Saccharomyces cerevisiae S288C: one gene and its partners. The gene in region 1 interacts genetically with each later gene. Each region holds a gene or a part of one and is shown in the gene's direction. Other genes may lie near its edges.

Region 1 (8,499 bases):
TAAAGTTGAAACTGCTCGTTGTGTTTCCATAAGTGCAAAATTAATATCTCGTGGCCAATATGTTCATACGATAACAAAAGTCACAAGACCGGAAGGTGCATTCAATCAGCTGGAGTATCTAAAAATCAATAGAAATGCTTGTCTTTTAATAGATGGTGAATCCCTGGGAATGTTTTTGAAACATTACGAACAGGAATTTTTTGATGTCGTGGTTCATTTACCCACTGTTATTGCTTGCCGTTGTACACCTCAACAGAAGGCAGACGTTGCTTTGGTAATTCGTAAAATGACGGGCAAAAGGGTATGCTGTATTGGTGATGGAGGTAACGATGTTAGTATGATTCAATGTGCAGATGTTGGCGTAGGGATTGTGGGTAAAGAAGGTAAACAAGCTTCTTTAGCTGCTGATTTTTCTATAACGCAATTTTGTCACCTCACCGAATTACTATTATGGCATGGTAGGAACTCTTACAAAAGATCTGCTAAATTGGCTCAATTTGTCATGCATAGAGGTTTAATCATTGCAATTTGCCAAGCGGTATATTCCATCTGTTCGTTGTTCGAACCTATTGCTCTTTATCAAGGTTGGTTAATGGTCGGTTATGCTACCTGCTATACAATGGCTCCAGTCTTTTCATTAACTCTTGATCACGATATCGAAGAGTCATTGACTAAAATATACCCAGAATTGTACAAAGAATTGACTGAAGGTAAGAGCTTATCATATAAGACGTTCTTTGTTTGGGTTCTATTATCGCTATTCCAAGGTTCTGTAATTCAATTATTTTCTCAGGCCTTTACGAGTTTATTAGATACTGATTTCACAAGGATGGTTGCTATCAGCTTCACTGCTTTGGTTGTAAATGAATTAATAATGGTTGCCTTAGAAATCTACACATGGAATAAAACAATGCTCGTCACTGAAATTGCTACTTTACTATTTTACATTGTATCGGTTCCATTTCTTGGCGATTATTTTGATTTAGGTTATATGACTACCGTAAATTACTATGCTGGACTTTTAGTTATATTACTCATCTCGATCTTTCCTGTCTGGACGGCAAAGGCAATTTATAGAAGGCTACATCCTCCAAGTTATGCAAAAGTGCAAGAGTTTGCCACTCCATAATTCAATTGGTTTGGATTTTTCTTGTTGCTTCAACGGATTATCTTAAAAAAATCTATCATATTTCAAAATATAAATTCTTATTTTTACAAAGAAGATATAGATTATGCATAATATTATTTTGTTACATTTTTTTTCTTTTACTTTTTATTTTCTTTTCTTTGTACTTCCTCAAATAAGCATCTTTAGCAGGTTAACAATAGCAAATATCATGTCCAGCCCAAATCACATAATACTTTCCACTTCACTTTCACTATCTGTTTCGGGAGACCTATCATCCACGGTATTGACAGTTGGTCTTTGGAAATCAGTTGCATGTGCCCAAGGAATGGATCTCGAAATGTTCTCAAACACGGAGGACCTTCTTCTGAAAGTCCCACGGTAAGCGGGCATAGGTTCGGCAAAACTGTGAGGATTATTGTCATGTGAAGGCGTGATAGGTATGTCGTTAAGTGATGAAAAGGCTTTTGAACCCAAATCACTACTATCCATAGAATCATCACCGACCTGCGCAATTGGATAAGGCAGAGGAGCGTCACCGGTAACCCTGAATAGGTGAACATTGGCAACATGTTCATTTTCGACTCTGAAGATGATCCAAACGAATCTTCTTAAAACCTCCAAAAGGGCCAATATAAACGACGTCACAGCACTCTGCTGAATTGTTTGAGGAGCAATTGCGTATACAATCCACTCAAATCTAATGAGGATATCCCAAATCATAGCAAAGTAATAAACTAACTTCCTACTGAATGAATAACTGCCGTTTTCCCAATTTTTTTTACCAGCTAAATACAAGTCGTCTCTTAGCAACCAATTGTAAGAAGTAGTATTGTGAGCAAAGGACCAATCCATAACTAAATCCCAGGCGGAAGTAAGGATCGAATTCAACGTAGCGCACACGATAAAAGGGGTTCTCCTTTGTTCAGAACGGTCTGACAATCTGTAAGCACAAAGTGTGGCATTATACGCTATACCCAAAGTGTATTTCGCCGCGTTCAAAAGATGAGGGAACCAATCACCGGAATCAGCAAATCTTCGTAAACATTGCATGAATCTCCAATAACTTGGTAAACATGATAAAACACCCATTGCTCTGGAATGTGAAGAGCCACATAGATTGTTGGGCGTATGAGAGTAAACACAGAAGAACATGGCAATATCGGCAATAGAATACGTCAACGAACAAATAATATCTCCCAAAAAGAAATCACCAAACTCAACAGGGAAAAAACCAGACATCATCAGTCTAATAAGAGTAACCACCAGCCATTTTCTAGTGTGTACAACTTTGTCCCAATATGGAATTAGACCAGAGGGACATAAAAATAAGAAAGACACAATACCAATATATAAAAAGCCTAAGGGTGTGAGCTTCTCCAAAGCGAAACTTAACATGGAACAGACCGCACAAGGTACTATGAAGAATGTCAAGAAATACAACTTGAGCGGAATTTTACTCGTGGCAAAATCATTGTTGAAAAATTGCGTACCATTCTTGGATTGAATCTCACCCAGCATAATAAATCTATAATTAATCCCGGTTCTATGCCAGATAAAACAATTAACAAGAAAGAGAAACGCGATCAACAAAACCATGTACCAACCACCCCACAGTGGGAACAGAATCTTGTGCGTAAATGACGTTTCTTCAGAGCTAATGCCCAAATACAAAGTGTAAGTGATCAAAGTCATTGACACACCTATGCCCAGCCCGACAACCAGCATCTGCACAATCGATCTGTTGTTTCTATGAACCATTTGTTCGGAGATAGAGTACTGAATGGTCAATTTCTTCAACTTATGGGTATTGTGCTTCCTGTCCTTAGGCGAATTGGTCAACGCAGTGGTGAACCACTCGGTGATCTGCGTTTCCAACCAAGTGATGGGCTCTTTGTCTCTTTGGGCGGAAGAGAGCTCCGAAGTGGGTGTTGGTTGCGAACTGGTTATTTGTTGCATCTTCTGTGCCACCAACTGCACGTTGGCATCCGCGTGCTTGAAAAGGGTGTAGTGGGTCCTGGCGTACGACATGAACGTGGTCAGCTCTCTTGTGTGACACGTTTTGTCGAATTTCTTGACCATTTTACGGAACCCGGTGACGTTGATATCCCGGAACGATTTGACCAATTGCAAGTACAGATAGTACTCGATTATAGCGTTGCTTAACAAGTTTCTAGCCTGGGTTGTCGTCATAGTCTCCAGAAAAGAAGCGCCAAAAGCAAACGTCTCGCGGCCTCTTGAGGACGCATCCTGTCTCAAGTCCTGTAGCAGAGAAAATCCACGTTTGGGCCACGATGGCAGCAGCCTATTGTCCTTAAGAACTTTCTGACAGTACGCTAGCAGCGACAAACGCGGCTTCTTGGCCTCTTTGGTGCAGGGCATTGACCCATACATAACAGACCGGCTATCGCTGTCGATGCTATTGACCCTGGAGTCAGAACGACCAGCAAGCCCTGCCGCATATAGACTCGTGGACATGTCAACATTCGAACTAGACCGGTTCAAGTTGTCGCGCTCATAATTCTTCTGCAGCGAGTAATAGTGCAGTTGCGACTGTAAAACCTCAAACTTCTTGTCGCACTCCTTTAGCAACCAAAGGTAAAACTCGTTACACTTACTCAACTGGAACGAGATCAACCAGTCTTCAATGAAGTCAGCAACGAACTCCCTCTGCAAAGCAGAATAGTCCTTCTTGAACGCAGGTCCGGAGCGATAGTCTCCGTCGCTGCGACTTTTGCCGGGCTCTCTCTGCTGAAATGCAGTCTGGTATACCGACACAGAGGGCATCCAGCTCCGGTAGGAGCTGGATTGCTCTTCTTCGGCATCCAGCTTCTCCTTGTAGCGGCGAAGCTTCTTCTTGCCGACCTTATAATCAATATATTTGTCCCTCCATTCCGGGATGGCAGACTCGGTTAGATGGTCAGCAAACTTCATCTGATACGGTGCTATGGTAAAGCCCTTCCATTGCTGCCAACTGAATTAAAAAAAAAAAAAAAATAACTACCAACCATCAAATCAAACAAAACAAAACAAAAAAGCAAAGGAGAAAACCCATCTTGTACATGTACAGTCCCAAACTGTTGCGAAACCGTGCGATGATGTTCATGGAACTTGCGTCAAATAAAACCGCATCCCGTCCCACGTGACAAACGGCACCCAAAATCCGTTCTAGAAATGCCTCACACCCACACCGATGATGGGCTTCCGACTCGATGACTACCAACACATAGCCAGCCGCAGCGGCTGGCAGCATGTGCATGATAATGATAAGTGATGATGAATGATGGTGATAACGATTTTGAACAAATGGCTGCAGCGATAGCAACTAAGGGGATGGAAAGACAGATCTGGGAGAGATAACTGCAGGGTGTGGCACGGCAACACAAGGCTATTGTATTGCACTAAACGGGCAAGAAGCCATGATGTGCGTCTGTATCCCAAAAAAAAAACTAATGGATTGGCGCGTGTACTATATATATTCATATGTCGTGTGTTTGTATATGTGTGGGAGTGATTGTGCGTGTATATGTGTGTTGGCGTGTGTGGTACAATGTGTGTGTTTTAATGTAGAAATGAGGTTGTAGCACGTGATCGGGAAGCCACAGTTTGCGCGGAGATATTTTATTTTTTTTCATCAGCGTAAGAAGAAAGCAACCTTGCAGTCTGTATCGTAAGAGAAGACTGCAGTTAAAGAAGTTTAGAGAAGAGGCTTGAGTATCGGTAAAGGGGTGTGTGTTTGGTGATTTATAAAGGAGAAGGGCATGAGGAGAGAGAGGCAAAGGATGATGAGTTTCGAGGACAAGGACAAGGACGACCTTGACAATAGTAATAGTAATAACAGCAGTGAAATGACAGATACGGCGATGATGCCACCATTAAAGAGATTGCTTATTACGGGCAGTAGCGATGATTTGGCACAAGGATCATCGGGTAAGAAGAAGATGACGATGGCGACGAGGTCGCCATCGTCATCACCCGATTTGGCGACAAACGACAGCGGCACTAGGGTACAGCCATTGCCAGAATATAACTTCACCAAGTTCTGCTATCGGCATAACCCGGACATTCAGTTCTCACCAACTCATACAGCGTGCTACAAGCAGGATTTGAAACGAACGCAAGAGATTAATGCTAATATCGCGAAGCTACCCCTGCAGGAGCAATCCGACATCCACCACATTATCTCGAAGTACAGCAATTCCAATGACAAGATACGGAAGCTGATTCTGGATGGGATCCTATCGACGAGTTGCTTCCCACAGCTTTCCTACATTTCGTCACTCGTTACACACATGATCAAGATCGACTTCATCAGCATTCTGCCGCAGGAGCTGTCGCTGAAGATCTTGAGTTATCTGGATTGCCAATCTCTTTGCAACGCCACGAGAGTGTGCCGCAAGTGGCAGAAGCTCGCGGATGACGACAGGGTATGGTACCACATGTGCGAGCAGCACATAGACAGGAAATGTCCCAACTGTGGCTGGGGGCTGCCTCTTTTGCACATGAAACGTGCGCGGATACAACAGAATAGTACAGGATCTAGCAGCAACGCAGATATCCAGACGCAAACTACGCGACCTTGGAAAGTCATCTACAGAGAACGGTTCAAAGTGGAGTCAAACTGGAGAAAGGGCCACTGCAGGATTCAGGAATTCAAGGGCCACATGGATGGTGTGTTAACGCTCCAGTTTAACTACAGGCTTTTGTTCACAGGCTCGTACGACTCCACCATAGGTATATGGGACTTATTCACGGGGAAGCTAATACGAAGGCTCAGCGGCCATTCGGACGGCGTCAAGACATTATATTTTGACGATAGAAAGCTGATTACGGGCTCGCTCGACAAGACGATCCGTGTTTGGAACTACATAACCGGTGAATGCATTTCCACGTATCGAGGCCACTCGGATAGCGTTCTGAGCGTAGATTCATACCAGAAGGTTATCGTTTCCGGCAGTGCTGACAAGACGGTCAAGGTATGGCACGTGGAGTCCAGGACATGCTACACCTTGAGAGGCCACACGGAATGGGTTAATTGCGTCAAATTGCATCCGAAAAGCTTTTCATGTTTTAGTTGCAGTGACGATACCACAATCCGAATGTGGGATATCAGGACCAATTCATGCCTAAAAGTGTTCAGGGGTCATGTAGGGCAGGTGCAAAAGATCATACCGCTTACCATTAAGGATGTAGAGAATCTAGCCACCGACAACACTTCTGATGGCAGCTCTCCGCAGGATGACCCAACAATGACTGATGGTGCAGACGAATCAGACACACCGTCGAACGAGCAAGAAACTGTCTTAGATGAAAACATACCTTATCCAACACATCTACTATCTTGCGGACTGGATAACACAATCAAACTATGGGACGTCAAAACCGGTAAATGCATAAGAACACAGTTTGGGCACGTGGAAGGTGTTTGGGACATCGCCGCTGACAACTTCAGAATTATAAGTGGTTCTCACGACGGAAGCATTAAGGTCTGGGACTTGCAAAGCGGGAAGTGTATGCACACGTTCAACGGTCGAAGACTACAAAGAGAAACTCAGCACACACAAACACAATCCTTGGGTGATAAAGTCGCCCCTATCGCTTGTGTTTGTATTGGAGATTCAGAATGCTTTAGTGGTGATGAATTTGGGTGCGTAAAAATGTACAAATTCGATCTCAATGATTAGGACCTGTGTGTGGTCTTTTCTTGGTCAAAAACATCCGTAGTACCTCGAATATATATGCTTACATATATAATGAAAAATACATAATAGCATTTTACATTTATTTTATTTCCAGGAAAAAAATAAATCGCTAGCGTATCACTAGCCTTTTCCATCTTCAGTTTTTTTCCTTCCTCTTTTTCGTCTCGATAAAACTCTTGACCATTAGATGCTATTACTCCCCCACGGAGCCCTTCCCACGCTAAGGGGGATGTCAAGGGGGGGACTGAAGATAAAGCTTATTATATTGACGGCGATGATGAAGAGGGCGTACGCATAAAATGTCGTACAAGATCCATAATCTGCAATATTGTTCCCTCAACAGTACTAATAAATCCAAAGGGCGAAGGTACTTTATTATATAAACGCGCACGGCCATTGTATATAAAGGCGATTACATAATAGAATACTTATCGATTCCGTAATCCTTGAAATATAGAATATACATAAAATAGACAAGAACCCAACAGTTGAGGCGCCAGCTTTGGTAATAGCTTAATAATAAATAAAAAAAGATAATATAGCTAGCTAGTATTATTGCTTTTATCCGTATGGCCACCACCACGCAACCACAAAATATACTGATGGATGAACCTTTAAATCTTCCTAATAACAGTGCCCACAACAATAACTATGGAAACATAAATGCGAATATAAGAACTTTTGCTGGTATGAGCATGCACATGCACCCTGCCAGGCTGAACTCTCTGGAGTTTTTGCACAAGCCCAGGAGACTATCTAATGTAAAACTGCACAGATTACCTCAGGACGAGCTTCAAAGAAATACGGACATGAATAAGGGAATGTATTTTAATGGGAAACAAGTTCATGCCCATCACCCGTTTATAAATTCTGGAGCGAACTTTAACGCACATCATCAAGACGTCAGTAAATTAGGCGAGGAGGAAGACGAAATCTCTCCTCTATCACATGATAATTTCCAGTATGAATCCGAGGAAAATGGTAATCCTTCACCTCCCATTTACAAGAAATCTGGAGAACTGGTTAAGAGTTCATTAAAAAGAAGATCCAAGTCCCTACCCATTACTCCCAAATCTATATTCAACAAAACTGGCTCTAAGAGTAAACATGTCAATTTAGATCATGTAGATACTAGGCTATTGCAAAGAAGTAAAAGTGTCCATTTCGATCGTGTTTTACCAATAAAGCTGTTCAATGAAAATGAGAAACCCATAGATGTTGGCAAACAAATGGTTCAACAAGATGTTCTGAATTTCAAGCATAAGCCTTTGACGAGACTAAGTGCCCTTAATGGCGGTAGTGATAGCGTACCTATAGAAGATTTACTATCTGAAAACAACCAAAACGAATATGGAGATACATGGCTACAAAACCCGAAGGGTGTATTCCTATTTGGTACAAATTCTAATAATCGTAGAAATAAAAAAAAGAAGTTTAAACTAAGTGACGATGACAGTGATATTGAAAATGACAATGATAGTGACGACGCTATAAACCGTTTAGTAAGGCAACAAGACAAAGACCAAGCTCATCTTGCGCACGGGTTGAAGAATTTGTTAATAAACGATGACGACGATTATTTAGAAACAAGAACAAATTCTGCTAAATCAGGAGCCAACTTGTTTATTGGAAACTCTAAAAGAATTGTTGGTCTTTACAACAAGAACTTTC
Region 2 (6,388 bases), on another chromosome or scaffold:
GTTCGCTCAAAAAAAAGTTTAACTATTGTCCAATTGTGCCCATTTTGGTAAATCTGTTTTGAACTTGAATTTGCCATTAATCTCCTCATACTTCCAAGCATGCAACCATAATTCTAGGTCTGATAGCACAGGATCCTTTAAATCAACAGTATGACATTCAGGACAAAATGTTTCCATTGTCCGACAATTATTTTTTGTCTCATCGACAAATTTTTGAAACCTCACTTTCAATTCCTCAGCATCTAAATCCTGCTGATTCTCCCATCTAGGAAACTGAGTTATAAACTTAAGCCTTTCGGGGTATTTTGTAATATGCGAACAATAAACACTATCGTTGACGATGGGATGACCGAGCCTAGCTAAATGGATTCGAATTTGGTGTGTTCTTCCAGTTATTGGCTTACAAGCGACGACAGTTTCATCAGCATGAGAGAAGTATCTTATTGGGTAGAACTTGGTAATAGCATCCTTCGATGTCGATAAACCAACTGGAAACTGTCTCTTTGGATCGATAGAATATATGGGTGTCATTTCCACTGTAACTTTGGAAGTGTCCTCAAAAGTCGTTTCCGCCGCATTTTCATTGTCCAATATCAATTCGGAGTGAGGAAATCTTCCCTTGACCCTTGCCAAGTAGATCTTAATCATATCTCTTGAACGAATACTCTTCTGGATTTCCCCCGCACTCTGACTGTTCTTGGCCAATATCAACAAGCCTGATGTGATCTTGTCTAACCGATAACAAGGAAGAGCATCTACACCATGTAACTTCAGTAATTCAGTAATTGTGTTCTGGTAAAACTGACCGGTTGGATGCACTGGTATACCACTGGGTTTATCAATGACGAGGATACTCTCATCTTCAAAAACAATATTGAATCCCGCTATTCTGCCAGGTAAATCCTCCGCTTCAACTTCCTGGCTACACCATTGTTTTACCGGCGGTTCGTGCTTATGCGTAGTTGTTTCTAAAACATCATGATTCTTGATTATGGTAGTCATGAGATGATCTGGTACCAGCGGCACACCATCTCGGATCAACCTATATGTGCCTTTCCTTATTTGGTCCAAATAATAAGCTCTTGGGCGAAGTTTAAATTCACTAACGAGAACGTCTATTAGTAACTTACCCAACCAGCGCCCCTTCACGAACGCTGATCTTCTGTTATAATAGGGCCGTACCTTTCTCAGTCCATTCTGTGTATATACCTCAATAACTTTGATAGTTGACATACTTGACAATCATCCTTTTGCCCACTGATTGTCTCGAGCAATCGTCAATAAAGTTTTCACAAGAAACATTTATTTGCCTTTTAATGAAAGAAAAAAAGTAAATTTTTCATTAACTTTTATCATTGTTATCAATCTTCTTGTATGACAGCAAGCTATATATACATACATATGCAAATCTAATGTACATAATTTCAACTATTCATACCATTAGTACCATAAAGTCATTCTTTTTACTGTAAACTACACTTGCATTATCCTTCCTCGTCCCTCTTTATTCTTATAACGTTGAACAGTGATTTCTTACCATGTGTATTTTTGTACTCAACCCGCAAAAGATAAGCATCCTCATACAGAAGTATTATTATTACCACTGTTACTTTTATTGTCGTTATTTGTCTTGCGTTTTTATGTTTATGGAGATAAAGTGGGAATGACTTTATCATATGCAATTATTAGCCGCTATAAGGCTAAGATTCTTCAAATTTATTTCATTTTTCTTTTACCCTTGCCACCCTTGCCCAGTTGCTCCTCCTCTGCGGTTAGCAACGCATCGCGCTCCTTTTTAGCTCTTGCTTTTTCTTGTCTTTTTTGCTCTTCCTCTAATTTTTTGGCATTCTCTTTCCTCGAACCTTGTTCCCATTTAGAAGCTTCCTCCGCTTCTAGCTGCTCCATTTGTGCTCTTTGTTTAGCATGTGCCTGATCTCTTTTTCTTGCTAAGCCAGCTGCTTTCTTTGCGGCGGATTCTGAAAATCTTTTACCCATCTTTTTACTTCCTCTTTGCTATTCTATTATTTCCTGTATAGGCAGGTTTTGTGCTCAATTGATAAATTCTTTTACCTATTAAATATAAACTTGAGTTTCAACTTATTCAGCTTTATTTTAAACATTATACAAGTTTTTCATTTTGAGGGGTCTTTAACTGGAAAAAAAAAGCTTTCACGACTCAAAGAAAAAAAAAAAAATTTTTTTAGGGTAAAAAAAAACTAAGGGCTAATATGAAAAATACAAAGGTTATGTTACTTTAAAATGAGGTTTGGAAGAAGGAGAAAGACAAAAAAGCAGGGCACATGTCAAACTCTTGGAAACTTGAGATCCTAGCCCTAACGCATGTGCTACTTCAAGGAATTCTTCTTATATATGACAACTATTCCAATTTGATGCTAAAACTAGCCCAAAGTGGTTGATGCTGTATCAATTGGTAAAGAATCCTCGATTTTCAGGAGCATCCAACGACGAAGATGAGGATTATTAAGGGCAGAAAGCGAGGCAAGAACAAGAAGCCAACGCTAATTTTAAAAATTCATGTCATTCAAGCTGAAAATATTGAAGCCTTGAAGACATTCAATTGTAACCCGGTATGTTTTGTTACCACTAATACATTTTATAGTCAAAAGACGAACAAGCTCAAGAACTCAAATACACACTGGAATCAAACCTTGAGGATCAAACTTCCGAGAAATCCAACATCTGAATGGTTAAGGATTATAGTATACGACGCCCTACCAACCGGAGCTCCCCCTACTACCCCCAGTAGACCAAGGACAACCACTGCAAATACATCTTCATCGACACTGTCAAATTCAGGGCTAAGTTCTCACTCTCATTCGTCGAGAAATTTGAATGTTACGTCCAAAGGTAATCAAACTTCAACATCAATTAATTCAGTATCATCTTCAGCTACACCGGCCCCTTCACATTCTTCCTCTTCTCTCTCAACAACAGGTCCCGGGTCCACACACAAAAATAGGATTAATAGCTATCTATATTTGGGTGAAGCAAAAATTTCATTACTGGATTTATTCAAGAGGAAGGACACCACGACGAGCTATAAATTTTCAATTGAAGCTCAGCGGTACCATCTATACGATATGAAAGGAGGGAAAGACCAAGATTCCTTGAACTGCAACTTTCTAGTGGGCGATATTTTGCTTGGATTTAAGCTAGAATGTAACGTTAAAAGAACCCCGACTTTTCAGGCTTTCAATGCTTGGAGAAATGAGTTGAACACTTACTTGGGCAGAATAGATAGAAATAAGGCCCGCATGAGATCTTCTAGTTCTTTGCCACCTCCACTAGAAGATATGTTGAGCAATAGTTCAGCTGTTAGTGGAAATGAAATACGACGCGAGAAACCATATAGCGATACTGATCTAGCCCACGATGAAGAGGTCAATGCCGAGGATGAAATAGATGCTGAGGAATCTATTGAAGATATGAATAGCAGCGGCAGCATTTGTACGGAGAGGAGGTACGATATAGACAATGATACTATATTCGACTCTATATCTGAGGTTGTTTCGCTAAATGATGAAGAACTAGATATTCTAAATGATTTTGAAGAAGCAGATCATCCAAATGTGCCAGACATAAATGTGCATGACATCGACGAAGATACCCGTATCAGTCTATCTTCAATGATAACAGCTTTAGATGAATATGATATCGTAGAACCAGAAGATGTTGCAAAATTACCTGCAGTGTCGGAAAATGACATAACATCAGTGGATGACGAAGAATCTGAAAACCAACAGGAAAGTGATGAGGAGTTTGATATATATAATGAGGATGAGCGTGAAGATTCTGATTTTCAATCAAAAGAATACATTGGGAGTCGGCTTTTACACCTGCAAAGGGGTAAACATAATAAATCATATGCAAATTACTTATACAGAAGAGCAAAAAGTAACTTTTTTATATCGAAAAAGGAACATGCGATGGGGGTAGTATTTATGCATATTGGGGCTATCAAAAATTTACCTGCATTAAGGAATCGGTTGTCCAAGACTAATTATGAAATGGATCCATTTATCGTTATTTCGTTTGGTAGAAGAGTATTCAAGACATCTTGGAGAAAACATACTTTAAACCCAGAATTTAATGAATATGCCGCTTTCGAAGTTTTTCCCCATGAAACGAATTTTGCTTTCAGTATCAAAGTTGTTGATAAAGACTCATTTTCATTCAATGATGACGTTGCAAAATGCGAACTGGCTTGGTTTGATATGCTGCAACAGCAACAACATGAAAACGAATGGATACCTTATGAGATACCATTGGATCTCACTGTTGAGCCAGCACATGCTCCTAAGCAACCGGTATTATATTCGAGCTTCAAATATGTTTCATATCCGTTCTTAAAAAAGAGCTTTTGGAAAGAAGCTGTTGACACATCAGTCAACTTAGAGAGACTCGACATTATTCAAGTAATGCTCTATCTTGAACGTCTTGGTTCATTCACGATGGCCGATTCTTTTGAACTCTTTCAGCATTTCAATAAATCTGCTTGGGCCGGCCAGAGCATTACTAGATCACAATTAGTTGAAGGGCTACAGTCATGGAGAAAATCCACTAATTTTAAACGCATCTGGACATGTCCTAGATGCATGCGTTCATGCAAACCAACTAGAAATGCTAGACGTTCTAAACTGGTTCTAGAAAATGACTTGATAACCCATTTTGCCATATGTACGTTTTCAAAAGAACACAAAACTTTAAAGCCGTCGTACGTCTCATCTGCATTTGCATCCAAGAGATGGTTCTCTAAGGTTTTGATAAAATTAACTTATGGTAAATATGCTTTGGGATCTAACAATGCAAACATCTTGGTTCAAGACCGAGACACAGGGATAATTATTGAGGAAAAAATAAGCGCACACGTAAAGTTGGGAATGAGGATTATATACAATGGTAAAAGTCCCGAGTCTAAAAAATTTAGATCCCTCTTGAAGACTTTATCAATCAGGCAAGGCAAAAAATTTGACAGCACTGCATCTGCCAAACAAATTGAACCTTTCATAAAGTTTCACTCGCTAGACCTTTCACAATGCCGAGATAAAGATTTTAAAACATTCAATGAATTTTTTTACAGGAAACTAAAACCAGGAAGCCGGCTGCCTGAAAGTAATAATAAAGAAATATTGTTTTCACCAGCAGATTCAAGATGCACAGTGTTCCCAACTATACAAGAATCGAAGGAAATATGGGTGAAAGGAAGAAAATTTTCTATTAAGAAACTAGCCAATAACTATAATCCGGAAACATTTAATGACAATAACTGCAGTATTGGTATATTTAGACTGGCGCCACAAGATTATCACCGGTTTCACTCACCATGTAATGGTACGATTGGAAAACCTGTATATGTGGATGGAGAGTATTATACTGTAAATCCAATGGCCGTTCGTAGTGAGTTAGACGTCTTTGGTGAAAATATCAGAGTTATTATCCCCATCGATTCTCCTCAATTTGGCAAACTACTGTACATACCTATTGGTGCAATGATGGTTGGATCCATACTATTGACCTGCAAAGAAAACGATGTAGTTGAGAGTGGACAGGAGCTGGGCTATTTTAAATTTGGAGGTTCTACTATAATAATCATTATCCCGCACAACAACTTCATGTTTGATTCCGACCTTGTGAAAAACTCTTCAGAACGCATTGAAACGTTAGTCAAAGTCGGGATGAGTATAGGACACACATCAAATGTGAATGAATTGAAGAGAATCCGTATTAAAGTAGACGACCCAAAGAAAATTGAACGGATCAAGAGAACAATTAGTGTTAGCGATGAAAATGCCAAGAGTACAGGAAATGTAACATGGGAATATCATACTTTACGGGAAATGATGAATAAAGATTTTGCTGGGCTATGAAGCCGCCGAAAAATTGGCTGTAGTTAGTGGTTACCAAAATGGAAAAAAAAAAAAAACATGAACAATCTCCCTCAGACTTTATTATAGACTATAGCGTGTACAAACAAGTCATCGTTGATAATGAAAGCAATGGTTTCATACCAGGAAATTTCCTATGAAAAATATGCATTTTTATTAGTAACAAAAGAAACTATATTCCTAGTCCTCTTGCAGAAAATACGATATAATACTTAAGTTAATATTTACAGTGCAGTAAGTACCTTTTTCATGACCTCATATTCGTTTGTTCCTCTTGCAACCTGAATGGAATTTTTTTCAAAGGTACTTCTCGGCCTTTCTTGTTAGATTGCTTTCCATATGTTTTATCGGAACCCAATCTAGCATAATTTATAGTCCTTTTCTCCTTTGAAACATCAATACGATCTAGGAAACTTTGTGAGAGAGATGGTATAATGGATTGGCATAAAATGGAGAGGATTCTAGACGTTTCCATAGCCAAA
Region 3 (4,983 bases), on another chromosome or scaffold:
GCACCATCTCGTGATTTTTCAAAGATTGGTAAAGGAACATGAAAAAAAAAAAGCGGGGGGGTGGGGAAAATAGAGTTGATTCTGCAAAAGAGAAAGACAAAGGCCGCCCCTGGGAGCAAAGTCGTCCGATGAGGAACTAACCAGGGGCAGCATTATCCGTTAGGATCTACCGGAGAGCTGTTCCAGCGGCGGATCTGAGAAAGATTGGTTCTCCTTTTGTCGCTATATCTTGCAACTTAAATAAGCATTCTCTAAAAAATACTGGTGCTATAAGAACCCTGCTGCATACAAGTATTTCCGTTTCTACCATACTGCGGGGAAGGGACTTGAAAATAATCTCAAGATTGAAGAGGTGAAAATTGTAAAATAGTCTACTATGACCGATGTGTTGAGAAGCCTAGTGCGAAAGATTTCCTTCAATAACTCAGATAACCTTCAGCTAAAACACAAGACATCTATACAGAGTAATACTGCCCTAGAAAAGAAGAAGAGAAAGCCTGATACAATCAAAAAGGTAAGCGACGTTCAAGTTCACCATACTGTACCTAATTTCAATAACAGTTCAGAGTACATCAACGACATAGAGAATCTTATAATATCTAAACTGATAGACGGGGGAAAGGAGGGTATTGCAGTTGATCACATTGAACACGCCAATATCTCGGACAGTAAAACAGATGGAAAAGTTGCCAATAAGCACGAAAATATTAGTAGCAAGCTTAGTAAAGAGAAGGTTGAGAAAATGATTAATTTTGATTATAGGTATATTAAAACCAAGGAAAGGACTAGTATGTATAATTATTTTTTATTTTTTTTTTTTATGTTCTTGCCAGTGGAGGAATGTTTCTTTCGTCACAACCGGAGTGAATAGTGGAACTACTGTCAGTTCATAGTATCGCGACACAAAAAAAAATAATTAAAAGAAAAAAAAAGAGAGTGTAAAATAAAGATTTATGAAATTGCATCCCTAATCTTAGAAACTTGCTTACGAAATATCAGGAAGCATAGCGGAACATTTTTCCATATTACATCAACTACCATTTTTTATGGGAATCACATTATATACTAACATAGGTTTAGTTCATAAACGGGTTTATAAACATGACCGCAAAACTGATGTCGACCGAAAAAATCATGGAGGAACTATCGACATCAGTTATCCTACGACAGAAGTGGTTGGCCATGGTTCATTTGGTGTTGTAGTCACGACTGTAATAATTGAGACCAATCAAAAAGTTGCCATAAAGAAAGTACTACAAGATAGAAGATATAAAAATAGGGAGCTCGAAACTATGAAGATGTTGTGCCATCCAAATACTGTGGGTCTACAGTACTACTTTTACGAAAAGGACGAAGAAGATGAAGTATACCTCAATCTGGTTTTGGACTACATGCCTCAGTCGTTATACCAAAGGCTTCGTCATTTTGTTAATTTGAAAATGCAGATGCCGCGTGTTGAAATTAAATTCTATGCATACCAACTATTCAAAGCTTTAAACTATTTGCATAACGTTCCTCGAATCTGTCACAGAGATATAAAACCGCAAAACCTACTGGTGGATCCGACAACTTTTTCTTTCAAGATTTGCGATTTTGGCAGTGCCAAATGCTTGAAACCGGATCAGCCTAATGTGTCTTACATCTGTTCAAGGTACTATAGGGCTCCCGAACTCATGTTTGGTGCCACTAATTACTCAAACCAGGTCGACGTGTGGTCAAGCGCTTGTGTCATTGCTGAGTTGCTTTTGGGCAAGCCCTTGTTCTCTGGTGAAAGCGGTATAGATCAGTTGGTGGAAATTATTAAGATAATGGGCATACCCACAAAGGATGAAATTTCAGGAATGAACCCAAATTATGAAGACCATGTTTTCCCCAATATCAAGCCCATTACTTTGGCTGAAATATTCAAAGCCGAAGATCCCGATACTCTTGACTTGTTAACAAAAACTCTGAAGTATCACCCTTGCGAAAGATTGGTACCTCTACAATGTCTATTATCAAGCTATTTTGACGAAACCAAACGTTGTGATACCGACACTTACGTAAAAGCACAAAACCTGCGTATATTTGACTTCGACGTGGAAACTGAGTTGGGCCATGTTCCACTTGTGGAACGGCCCGCCATTGAAGAACGGTTGAAACATTTTGTTTCTGCACCTTCATCGTCTTTGTGATATATCTCATCCTTCAAATTTCTTAGTCTATTGTATCATTACTATTACATAATATGCATTTGTCTTCTGCACACAGATACACAGCGTATGCAGTTAACCTAACGTATAACGACCGTCCTCTTTCCTTCATTTAATTTCACTTGCTGCTTTTCTAGGCAGCGGTCGCCCAAATTTTCACCGGCCACAAGCGTATGACTGCATATGCAGAACCTTGGCAACTGTAAGAACTCCTATGTTTCTTTATTGCAAACAGTTGCTAAAAGCACTCACATAGAAGAAAAATTGATGAAACTTGCGATGCATTGAACAAATTTCCCTTTCTTCATACTTTACGGCATAGTAATCTTTGAACCTTTTGGTAAGCACCAAATTCGTAATTCATTATCGATATTGTGTAGAAAAGAGTAAAATATAATAAAACGAAAAAAAAAAGGTTTGAAAGAACATAACTACTAAAACGCACCGTCGTCATTCTGAAGATGAATTCTAGCTATACACAGAGATATGCACTGCCGAAGTGTATAGCAATATCAGATTATCTTTTCCATCGGCTCAACCAGCTGAACATACATACCATATTTGGACTCTCCGGAGAATTTAGCATGCCGTTGCTGGATAAACTATACAACATTCCGAACTTACGATGGGCCGGTAATTCTAATGAGTTAAATGCTGCCTACGCAGCAGATGGATACTCACGACTAAAAGGCTTGGGATGTCTCATAACAACCTTTGGTGTAGGCGAATTATCGGCAATCAATGGCGTGGCCGGATCTTACGCTGAACATGTAGGAATACTTCACATAGTGGGTATGCCGCCAACAAGTGCACAAACGAAACAACTACTACTGCATCATACTCTGGGCAATGGTGATTTCACGGTATTTCATAGAATAGCCAGTGATGTAGCATGCTATACAACATTGATTATTGACTCTGAATTATGTGCCGACGAAGTCGATAAGTGCATCAAAAAGGCTTGGATAGAACAGAGGCCAGTATACATGGGCATGCCTGTCAACCAGGTAAATCTCCCGATTGAATCAGCAAGGCTTAATACACCTCTGGATTTACAATTGCATAAAAACGACCCAGACGTAGAGAAAGAAGTTATTTCTCGAATATTGAGTTTTATATACAAAAGCCAGAATCCGGCAATCATCGTAGATGCATGTACTAGTCGACAGAATTTAATCGAGGAGACTAAAGAGCTTTGTAATAGGCTTAAATTTCCAGTTTTTGTTACACCTATGGGTAAGGGTACAGTAAACGAAACAGACCCGCAATTTGGGGGCGTATTCACGGGCTCGATATCAGCCCCAGAAGTAAGAGAAGTAGTTGATTTTGCCGATTTTATCATCGTCATTGGTTGCATGCTCTCCGAATTCAGCACGTCAACTTTCCACTTCCAATATAAAACTAAGAATTGTGCGCTACTATATTCTACATCTGTGAAATTGAAAAATGCCACATATCCTGACTTGAGCATTAAATTACTACTACAGAAAATATTAGCAAATCTTGATGAATCTAAACTGTCTTACCAACCAAGCGAACAACCCAGTATGATGGTTCCAAGACCTTACCCAGCAGGAAATGTCCTCTTGAGACAAGAATGGGTCTGGAATGAAATATCCCATTGGTTCCAACCAGGTGACATAATCATAACAGAAACTGGTGCTTCTGCATTTGGAGTTAACCAGACCAGATTTCCGGTAAATACACTAGGTATTTCGCAAGCTCTTTGGGGATCTGTCGGATATACAATGGGGGCGTGTCTTGGGGCAGAATTTGCTGTTCAAGAGATAAACAAGGATAAATTCCCCGCAACTAAACATAGAGTTATTCTGTTTATGGGTGACGGTGCTTTCCAATTGACAGTTCAAGAATTATCCACAATTGTTAAGTGGGGATTGACACCTTATATTTTTGTGATGAATAACCAAGGTTACTCTGTGGACAGGTTTTTGCATCACAGGTCAGATGCTAGTTATTACGATATCCAACCTTGGAACTACTTGGGATTATTGCGAGTATTTGGTTGCACGAACTACGAAACGAAAAAAATTATTACTGTTGGAGAATTCAGATCCATGATCAGTGACCCAAACTTTGCGACCAATGACAAAATTCGGATGATAGAGATTATGCTACCACCAAGGGATGTTCCACAGGCTCTGCTTGACAGGTGGGTGGTAGAAAAAGAACAGAGCAAACAAGTGCAAGAGGAGAACGAAAATTCTAGCGCAGTAAATACGCCAACTCCAGAATTCCAACCACTTCTAAAAAAAAATCAAGTTGGATACTGATCTGATCTCTCCGCCCTACTACCAGGGACCCTCATGATTACCGCTCGAATGCGACGTTTCCTGCCTCATAAAACTGGCTTGAAAATATTTATTCGCTGAACAGTAGCCTAGCTTATAAAAATTTCATTTAATTAATGTAATATGAAAACTCACATGCCTTCTGTTTCTAAAATTGTCACAGCAAGAAATAACATTACCATACGTGATCTTATTAAACTCTAGTATCTTGTCTAATACTTCATTTAAAAGAAGCCTTAACCCTGTAGCCTCATCTATGTCTGCTACATATCGTGAGGTACGAATATCGTAAGATGATACCACGCAACTTTGTAATGATTTTTTTTTTTTCATTTTTTAAAGAATGCCTTTACATGGTATTTGAAAAAAATATCTTTATAAAGTTTGCGATCTCTTCTGTTCTGAATAATTTTTAGTAAAAGAAATCAAAAGAATAAAGAAATAGTCCGCTTTGTCCAATACAACAGCTTAAACCGATTATC

Evidence for each region. Genes that interact genetically often act in the same process or in processes that back each other up.
Region 2: mutations in MET30 (region 1) and PSD2 together harm fitness more than expected from each alone (negative genetic interaction), as found in Saccharomyces cerevisiae (3 studies listed by BioGRID, with this or other methods).
Region 3: mutations in MET30 (region 1) and THI3 together harm fitness more than expected from each alone (negative genetic interaction), as found in Saccharomyces cerevisiae (2 studies listed by BioGRID).

Annotation. Positions count from the first base shown.
Region 1 is NC_001141.2:263,764-272,262, forward strand, and holds MET30 (ubiquitin-binding SDF ubiquitin ligase complex subunit MET30), read left to right. Parts: upstream 1-4,887; coding exon 4,888-6,810; downstream 6,811-8,499. Other genes in the region: aminophospholipid-translocating P4-type ATPase NEO1, read left to right, coding at 1-1,129; SYG1 (Syg1p), read right to left, coding at 1,352-4,060; YIL046W-A (uncharacterized protein), read left to right, coding at 4,546-4,710; putative protein phosphatase regulator PIG2, read left to right, coding at 7,398-8,499. UniProt on the Saccharomyces cerevisiae protein: Substrate-recognition component of the SCF(Met30) complex, an E3 ubiquitin ligase complex that mediates the ubiquitination and subsequent proteasomal degradation of target proteins. Negatively regulates sulfur amino acids biosynthesis genes expression.
Region 2 is NC_001139.9:834,671-841,058, forward strand, and holds PSD2 (phosphatidylserine decarboxylase 2), read left to right. Parts: upstream 1-2,471; coding exon 2,472-5,888; downstream 5,889-6,388. Other genes in the region: pseudouridine synthase PUS6, read right to left, coding at 19-1,233; LSO2 (Lso2p), read right to left, coding at 1,717-1,995; methionine--tRNA ligase MSM1, read right to left, coding at 6,154-6,388. UniProt on the Saccharomyces cerevisiae protein: Catalyzes the formation of phosphatidylethanolamine (PtdEtn) from phosphatidylserine (PtdSer). Plays a central role in phospholipid metabolism and in the interorganelle trafficking of phosphatidylserine.
Region 3 is NC_001136.10:310,142-315,124, reverse strand, and holds THI3 (branched-chain-2-oxoacid decarboxylase THI3), read left to right. Parts: upstream 1-2,653; coding exon 2,654-4,483; downstream 4,484-4,983. Other genes in the region: putative serine/threonine protein kinase MRK1, read left to right, coding at 377-788, 1,081-2,174. UniProt on the Saccharomyces cerevisiae protein: One of five 2-oxo acid decarboxylases (PDC1, PDC5, PDC6, ARO10, and THI3) involved in amino acid catabolism.